Linked DNA regions of Macaca fascicularis. The protein of the gene in region 2 interacts with the protein of the main gene of each other region in a pairwise test. Links are inferred from orthologs where the notes say so. Each region holds a gene or a part of one and is shown on either strand. Other genes may lie near its edges.

Evidence for each region.
Region 1: the proteins of DHX15 (region 2) and RBM5 interact in binary tests that used the Homo sapiens proteins (3 or more experiments, as listed by UniProt). The link is inferred for Macaca fascicularis from reciprocal best matches to the Homo sapiens genes DHX15 and RBM5.

Annotation. Positions count from the first base shown.
Region 1 is NC_088376.1:113,111,417-113,115,751, reverse strand, and holds the start of RBM5 (RNA-binding protein 5), read right to left. Parts: upstream 2,823-4,335; 5' UTR 2,715-2,822; intron 1,359-2,714; 5' UTR 1,306-1,358; coding exon 1,289-1,305; intron 1-1,288. UniProt on the Homo sapiens protein: Component of the spliceosome A complex. Binds to ssRNA containing the consensus sequence 5'-AGGUAA-3'. Regulates alternative splicing of a number of mRNAs.
Region 2 is NC_088379.1:23,690,815-23,694,631, reverse strand, and holds part of DHX15 (ATP-dependent RNA helicase DHX15), read left to right. Parts: intron 1-1,627; coding exon 1,628-2,063; intron 2,064-3,817.

The DNA.
Region 1 (4,335 bases), on a different chromosome or scaffold from region 2:
GTTATCCAAGTTTATTTTTGCACTTTGTCAAGCCTAGAGTCTACATATTATCCCTTCATCCCTGATTCAGACCAAAAACAGGAAAAAAGCAGTTACTTGAATTTCACCCAATTTTAAAGGGTGAAATTAAGTACATCCCTGGCTCATCTACTCTCAAGAGTATCATATCTACTAGAAAATGGACCAAAAACCTGGATGAACTAAGTTAGTCTTTTTTTTCCCCATCAGGCAACTTAGTTGTCTGTCAGATATAACTGGATAGTTACCCAAAACTAGCACCCCTTAAGAGAACACTCTTCTTATAACATCTGGTTTATTTTTGGTTGAAGGGCAGCACTGGGCTTCATGAGAAAACCTAATAATAAGGGGCTTAAACCTATTTGACCACAGATAAAATAGGTCTTTTGTAAATTGTTTTACCAGATTCATAAAACTGTGGCAAAGGAAAGGTTTATAAGGGCTTCATTTATACAAATTTAATAAAAAGAATCAAGGGAAATATGGGACTGAGACACCCCAAAGGGGTAAATGTTAATTTAATAAGCTATTTAGAACCACAGACTGCTGACATAGCATTAAAACACCATGTGACATGAACATTTCCTAAGGTCCCTCGGGCCTGTCAATGTGATCTACCACAGGGACTGACCTCAATACTAAAAAGGCAGATGGCTGAGTAAGGTTGTGTGTTTAAATCAAATGGTCTGAGAGTGTGTACCCAATAGCCAAATGCTCTCATCTTAATTTTCCACTAATTCTTTGGCTCTTTCTTTCATGTAACACACGGTCCCAAGCTTCTCAGCTCTCTAAGTCTGGATCATCTTGCTATTTAGGGAACAATAACGAGAACTGGCATTCATTGATTGCTTACCACAGCCAGGAACTGTGCTAAGTGCCAGACTGTATGATCTCCTGGATTCTGCAAAGGTTGCTGTCCACACAGGGAACCCTCAGGGACCCATTCTACCCTGCCCTTCTTTGCCTAAAATTATTTCTTATCCTTCAGCTTCCTTCCAGAGAATACTTTCTCCAGGAAGCTTTCCTGGCTGTGATCAAGAAAAAGACATACTTCCTATGTGTTATAAGAGCACCCTATACTTTATCACAGCATGTTCACACAGTACTTTCTCTCACTAGACTGTTAGTTTGTGACAACAGGACCATAAAGGTGTTCATCAGCAATGCCCGGCACGAAACGCTCACATATTAGTTTGATAAACTATTTTAAACAAAGAGTTCAGTCCCCACTGAAATGTTGAGTTCAAAGTCATGTACTATAGTAACTTACCTTTTGTCTGAACCCATTGTCCCACTGAAGATCTAGCACACAGCTCCAAAAGGTTCAAATTTTATTTTTTCTAGGAGACAAGAGAGAGTAATTGCTGTAAATCTCAGAGATCACTTAAGTGAGCAGCTCCATAAGCTTGGATACTACTGAGGCTGGGAGTTCATCAAACCTTCAAATCACTGACAGCGATTATCTAAGGTAGGGAGGTGGTGGGGACAAACTGTCAACGTTAAAATCATGCTAATATTTTGTTAACCATGAGCAAAACCGGAAGATTAAGAATACTTTAAAATATTAGATTCCAGATTTAACAACAGAATCATAATATGGAGCAAGCAGAAGACTCCTTCCCTGCTCCTACCTTAGAATTACAAAGCAAAAAGGGCAGAACTGCAATGAGCTCCTTTGGTTTTGTATCAAAGCAACTCTAGTGGGATAGTTGACCGTTAAAACATTAATCCAAGTGTCTTCATTTAATACAAAGAGCAACATGAAATTCAAACATTTCTGATGAAAAATTTAAAACCTCGTAGAAGCTGGGATACTGAGCTGACTGAAATCTACTACATTAATAACATATCGCATAAGACAAGAGCAAAGCTAGAAACGACCTAATTCCTAGGTAACAATAACCACCACGTCTTGAGTCAGTTCTTATGACTACAAACCACTGAGTGGCGAAGAGCCCGGCCCACCTGCTCCCCGTTGGTAATGAGACATCACACAGCTGGACCGCGTTCGATGAGCGCGAGGTCCGAGAAATCAGTTCCAGTAGTCTCTGGAGCCTAATATAGAGCGTATGCTCAATGATTTGTTGAAATTAATAAATGAAAAAGAACCACTGGGGGGAAACAAGTCCCGAGGCATATTCACTGGTGCTGCCCCTTCTCTCCCGGGCGGTGCCGGCACCCACCTCCGTGGGGTCTCGCGGCAGAGATGGCGGCGTCACGGCCTGCTCGACCGACTCCAGCGTCCGGCCTGCCCTCCCCGCACACACCCCTCCCGCCTCCCAAGAGGTTCCTAACCCGGAGATCGGCCATCACCGAACAGCTTTTCGGAGAGGGCGATTCAGTTGCAGTTAAGGGGGGATGGCGGCCAGAGACTGCCAGGGCGCTCCCGAGGAGGGCCAGAGGGACAGGCGACGGCTCCACTGCTCCGCTGGGCTGGAGATTAGGGGACGTGTACCCACAAGGGGCAAAGTCACAGCCAGAGAGAAGCAGGCCAGAGGCTGAGCTGGCTGGACGACCTCTGGAAACTGACAGAGCTGGCAACAAGGAAGGGCGCGGCCCTCCAACGCCTGGGGTAATTTAGCCCCTCTAGAGAACCGGCTGGAGCTGATCAATCGCCTCCGGCAGCTGACAAGGGAGGCCTGGGGGCCAGCCCCAATGGCAAGAACCTACCGTCGTTAGACAGCCACCGCACTTACCCCAAGGAGAGACCGAAGCAGCAGTAGCGGTTCTGCGTCCCCGAACCTCCAACAAGATTCGGCTGCTCCACAAAATGGCGCCTCCGCCGACGGCCGTCTCCTACCCACAGTACCTCACGCCTATCCCCTCCCTTTGTCACCCGCCTCCTGCGGATGAGTCCAATCCTCTAGGCGGCCTGGCTGCGCGAGGGCTGCCGGGAAATGTGGTCGCCAGACCATCCTTGTCACTTGGGACGCTCTGTGTTTCTTGCAATTCTCTTCTAAATCACCACAGAGTTGTCGATCGGCTTTTGCAGACCTGGATTTGTTTTTAGGGCTCCTCTCTATTAGGCATGGTAATAATTCTTTGCTTTTGCTACTAGCGCCATAGAGAGTACAGTTTGCTTTCACTGGCACGGTGTAAAACATTGTTTAATGTTTTACATTAAAAGGAGACCGTGGGTGGCGTGGTGGCTCAACCACGATCCAGCATTTTGGGAGGCCGAGGCAGGAGGATCGCTTGAGGCCAGGAGTTCGAGACCAGCCTGGACAACACAGTGAGACCCTATCTCTACAAAAAATAAAATTAGCTGAGCGTGGTGGCGTGGGCCTCTAATCCCAGCTACTCAGGAACTGAGGTGAGAGGTTCGCTTGGGCCCAGGAAGTCGAGGCTGCAGTGAACCGTGCTCTCGTCACCGCACTCCAGCCTGGGGTCAATGTGAGAAACTGTCGCTGAAAAATAAAAAGGAGGCTGGTGCCGGCCGCAGTGGCTCACGTCTGTAATCCCAGCACTTTGGGAGGCCGAGGTGGGCGATCACAAGGTCAGGAGATCGAGACCATTCTGGCTAACTCGGTGAAACCCCGTCTCTAGTAAAAATACAAAAAATTAGCCGGGCGCGGTGGCGGGCGCCTGTAGTCCCAGCTCCTGGGGAGGCTGAGGCAGGAGAATGGCGTGAACCCGGGAGGCGGAGCTTGCAGTGAGCCGAGATAGCGCCACTGCACTCCAGCCTGGGCCACAGAGCAAGACTGTGTCTCAAAAAAAAAAAAAAAAAAAAAAAAAAAAGGAGGCCGGGCGAGGTGGCTCAAGCCTGTAATCCCAGCACTTTGGGAGGCCGAGGAGGGTGGATCCCGACCTCAGGAGCTCAAGACAGCCTGATCAATATGGTGAAACCGCGTCTCTACTAAAAATACAAAAATTAGCTGGGCGTGGTGGCGTGTGCCTGTATTTCCAGCTACCAGGGAGGCTGAGGCAGGAGAATCGTTTGAACCGGGGAGGCGGAGGTTGCAGTAAGCCAAGATCGTGCCACTGCACTCCAGCCTGGCTGACAGAGCAAGACTCAGTCTCAAAATAACAATAATTAATAAATAAATAAAAAGGAGGGGCCGGGTGTGGTGGCTCATGCCTGTAATCCGAGCACTAGGAGGCCGAGGCAGGTGGATCAGTTGAGCTCAGGAGTTTGAGACCAGCCTGGCCAACATGGCTAAACCCGGTCTCTACTAAAAACACAGGCCGGGCGTGGTGGCTCACGCCTGTAATCCCAGCACTTTGGGAGGCCGAGGCGGGCGGATCACAAGGTCAGGAGATCGAGACCATCCTGGCTAACACGATGAAACCCCGTCTCTACTAAAAATACAAAAAAAT
Region 2 (3,817 bases):
TTTAATTAACAGTCACCTTAGGCCAGAAACAGGAGAAGCAAAGATGGTTGATGGCATATTTCGGAAGGTAGGCCCAGACTCTCAAGTATTGAATTGTGAGACTTCATTTTATGTTTTTTAAGTTATCCGTTGACTTTTCTTTCCCATTGATTTTCTTTCTGTTTATGCCAGGTGAGATGAGAGGCTTCATACAGTTCTGGCTTGTATGCTCTGTGAGTTTTGTAGGTGAACATTGGGATAGAAGAGGGGAAAATCACTTTTCATGTTTACATATGCATATATCTGGCTTTTCTTCTCTTTGAGTAAATTTGTACATGGCACACAACTGTACTTGGAGCACAGGGAATTTGTACTTTTGTGTGTTGTGGGTAAGGAACAATGATATGTTTAGGGGCTTGTGTCATAGCTCCATCATGCCTGATTATTTCAAGTCTGGGTTTAAACATCTTGAGGCAAGTTTCTCTGCTGGAGTAGTTGGTCTGTAGTAAACTGGACTAGTAGAATGAACAAGCCTAGATTATTTTATTTCCACCACCAGTCTCCCAGAGGCTGCTTTCAGCCACAACGCATATGAGCAACATGCAGCCCTTCTGCTTGTGAAGTTCTTAGCATAGATACTTTTAAAATGACTTATTAAGGTCAATCTCTAATAACTGGAAGTAGATACCAGAATTGACTACTTAAAATTGACCCAAGTTTAATAGAGTGGCTACCTGCATAATTTTAACATGTTAAACAACTTAATAGTGTTCATTGAAGCTTATTTTTAATTTGACTATGTTTCATTTTATGGTAGACCAAGGTACATAGCTTTATAGAGTGCTTTCAGTTTTTTACTGTTGCTGTTAAGGTTAAAATGCAAGAGTAAACAAGGAAGAAGGAATAAAAGTTTTAATTTTAGTTTTTCTTATAAAACAGTATACATTTACTGAACAAAATTGGGAAAGTGCTGGAAAGTATAACTAAAAAAACAAATTCTGCAGTCCTGAAATTCATATTTGTATTAGTTGAGATATTGATATGTATAACATTGTACTATGCCCTTTTCACTTTGCATTACAACCAAACATTGTCCTATGGCAAAGAAAGGAATATTAAAACAATTTATTAAATGTGGATTATAAAAGTATTGAGCAAAACCCACCACTGTTGACTGTAGTAATGTGAGGTAGAGTTGTCTTTATGTCCAGTAACAGTGTTTGTGCTAACTTCTGAATATACTTTTAGTGCAAAAAATACCTCTTCACAAATTGAAGGAGAATTTGAGAAAGATTGAGATGCCATCTTCTTTTGCTCAATTTGGACCTATCCTTTCTTCATCCTACTCTCAGTATCTGATTTCTGTTGTCTAAGTAGGAGGGGTTTTACTTGCAGCAGACTGAGTTCTTGTAACCTTACGTTGAAAGTTAAGGAAGCTGAGGCATCAGCAAGGAAGGGAAAGATGTTTGTGGTGGAGAATGAGAAGCCCTTAATTGTAGGGTATTTTTTTATTATTTCTGATAGTTACATAATCCATTGGATTTTTTACTCACTTGAATGTTGGACATTTACTCTCTTTGTGATTATAACACTAACATGAACATTCTGCTTAAAATTCAGAATCTGAATTCTAAATTTTTGTTTTTAGGAAGGATCGAGATCGAGACCGGGATCGTGAAGATCGGTCTAAAGATCGAGACCGAGAACGCGATAGAGGAGATAGAGAGCGGGAGAGGGAGAAAGAAAAGGAGAAGGAGTTGCGAGCTTCAACGAATGCTATGCTTATCAGTGCTGGATTACCACCTTTAAAAGCTTCCCATTCAGCTCATTCAACCCACTCAGCGCATTCAACGCATTCGACACATTCTGCTCATTCAGCGCACGCCGGACATGCAGGTCACACGTCACTTCCACAGTGCATTAATCCGTTCACCAACTTACCCCATACTCCTCGATACTATGATATTCTAAAGAAACGGCTTCAGCTCCCTGTTTGGGAATACAAGGATAGGTTTACAGATATTCTGGTTAGACATCAGTCCTTTGTACTGGTTGGTGAGACTGGGTCTGGTAAAACAACACAGGTGAGTTACTGTATACCATGGTACATATTTTATTTATGTTTAAGTTTAGCAAATGTTGCATATTTGATTCTGGTGGTCATTTCCCTTGTCTGTCATATGGAACATCTTGAAGAATAGCTGCTTTGATGTTTAATTGGCACTCTGAATTTCAGAGTGGAAATCCTATGGAGAGTACCTCTCTCCCCTGAGTCTAGGGGAAAATAGTGGTGCTCGCTTTTCAAATTTTGTTACCTTAAGTATGGCAGAGTGATGCTCTCCCACCCATTTTGACTCTAGGACAGTACAGATTTAGGGATACACAGTTTATTTTCTGGTGCTTGGGTGGAGAAATCAACCACTGGGGTAGATTTTTGTCGTTTGTATTTAATATAGTATCTTGAGCCATGCAAATATCTATTTTTCGAAAAAATGAAGTGCTAAAAGGATATAAAGTCTATACTCGTGACTTTTGTCCATCTAGTCATCCCCCCCATAGAACTAAACACTGTTACTAGTGTCTTATTTGTAATATATCTAGGATATTTTTTAAACACGGATGGGCTATTATTAACTAGACCCCTGTTGATAGACATTTAGGCTGTTTCCCATGGTGGTTTTGCATGGGCAAGTGTTTCTGTAGGAATCAAATTGCTGGGTCAGAAGATCATTTGTAATTGTGATACAGAAAGCTGGATAGCCTTCCAGAGGGAGTGTATTAATTTACTTTTCCATGAGCATGTATGAGAACATACGTGGGAAACTATTAAAACGTATCATTGAACTTGAATTTTTACAAATCCAATAGGTGAAAAATTGCATTCTAGTGTACTTTTTAATTTGCATTTTCTTGCTGTGGGTGAGAAGTAACTCTTTATACATTTAAGCCTGAACCATTAATTAAAAATTTCTTTCGGTTTCAAAAGTAGTTGTCCCTGATCATTGTAGAAAATTTGAAAAAATCAGAAAAGTATTAAAGCTAATTTAATAATTACCTGCCTTACCATGCAGAGATTGAACATACTGCATACACAATTTATCTTTTTCTAAAGTTACATGTGCATAGACATTTTGAAGGTACTGTAGCAACAAAAATAGGAAGCTTTTATTACAGACTGAGCCTTCGTACCATTTTTCTCTTCTCTTCTCTTCTCTTCTCTTCTCTTCTCTTCTCTTCTCTTCTCTTTTCTTTTCTTTTCTTTTCTTTTCTTTTGTATTGTTGTGGTTGAGACAGAGTCTCTTTCACCCATGCTGGAGTGCAGTGGTATGAACGCAGCCTCAACCTCCTGGGCTGAAGGGATCCTCCTGCCTCAGCTTCCCAAGTAGCTGAGATCACAGGCATATGCCACTAGTGCCTGGCTAAGTTTTAAATAAAATTTTTGTAGAGTTGAGGTTTTGAACTCCTAAGCTCAAGCAATCCTCCTGCCTTAGCCTTCCCAATTTTTCTTTTTTAATGAAAGAAAACTTAGAATTGATGTTAGGGTGTTCAAAAATCACCTTACGGAAATGTAAAGAATTTTCAAATTACATGGAAGACTGTAACTCTGAACTTACTATTTAATTGACATTTGGGTAAAGCCAGACACTGTATACTTTACGTGTATTAGCTTATTTACATTTTTCTATAATCCTGCAGGGAAGATATTCATCACCACTTTACGGATGAGCAAAATGAGGTTTAGGTTTATGAGAAACTTAGGTTTAGCGAATTGTCCTGGGTTGGGTTGTGGATTTTGGTGGGCTCAACGTTTAAAACTTTGTACCTTTGTCTTTATATC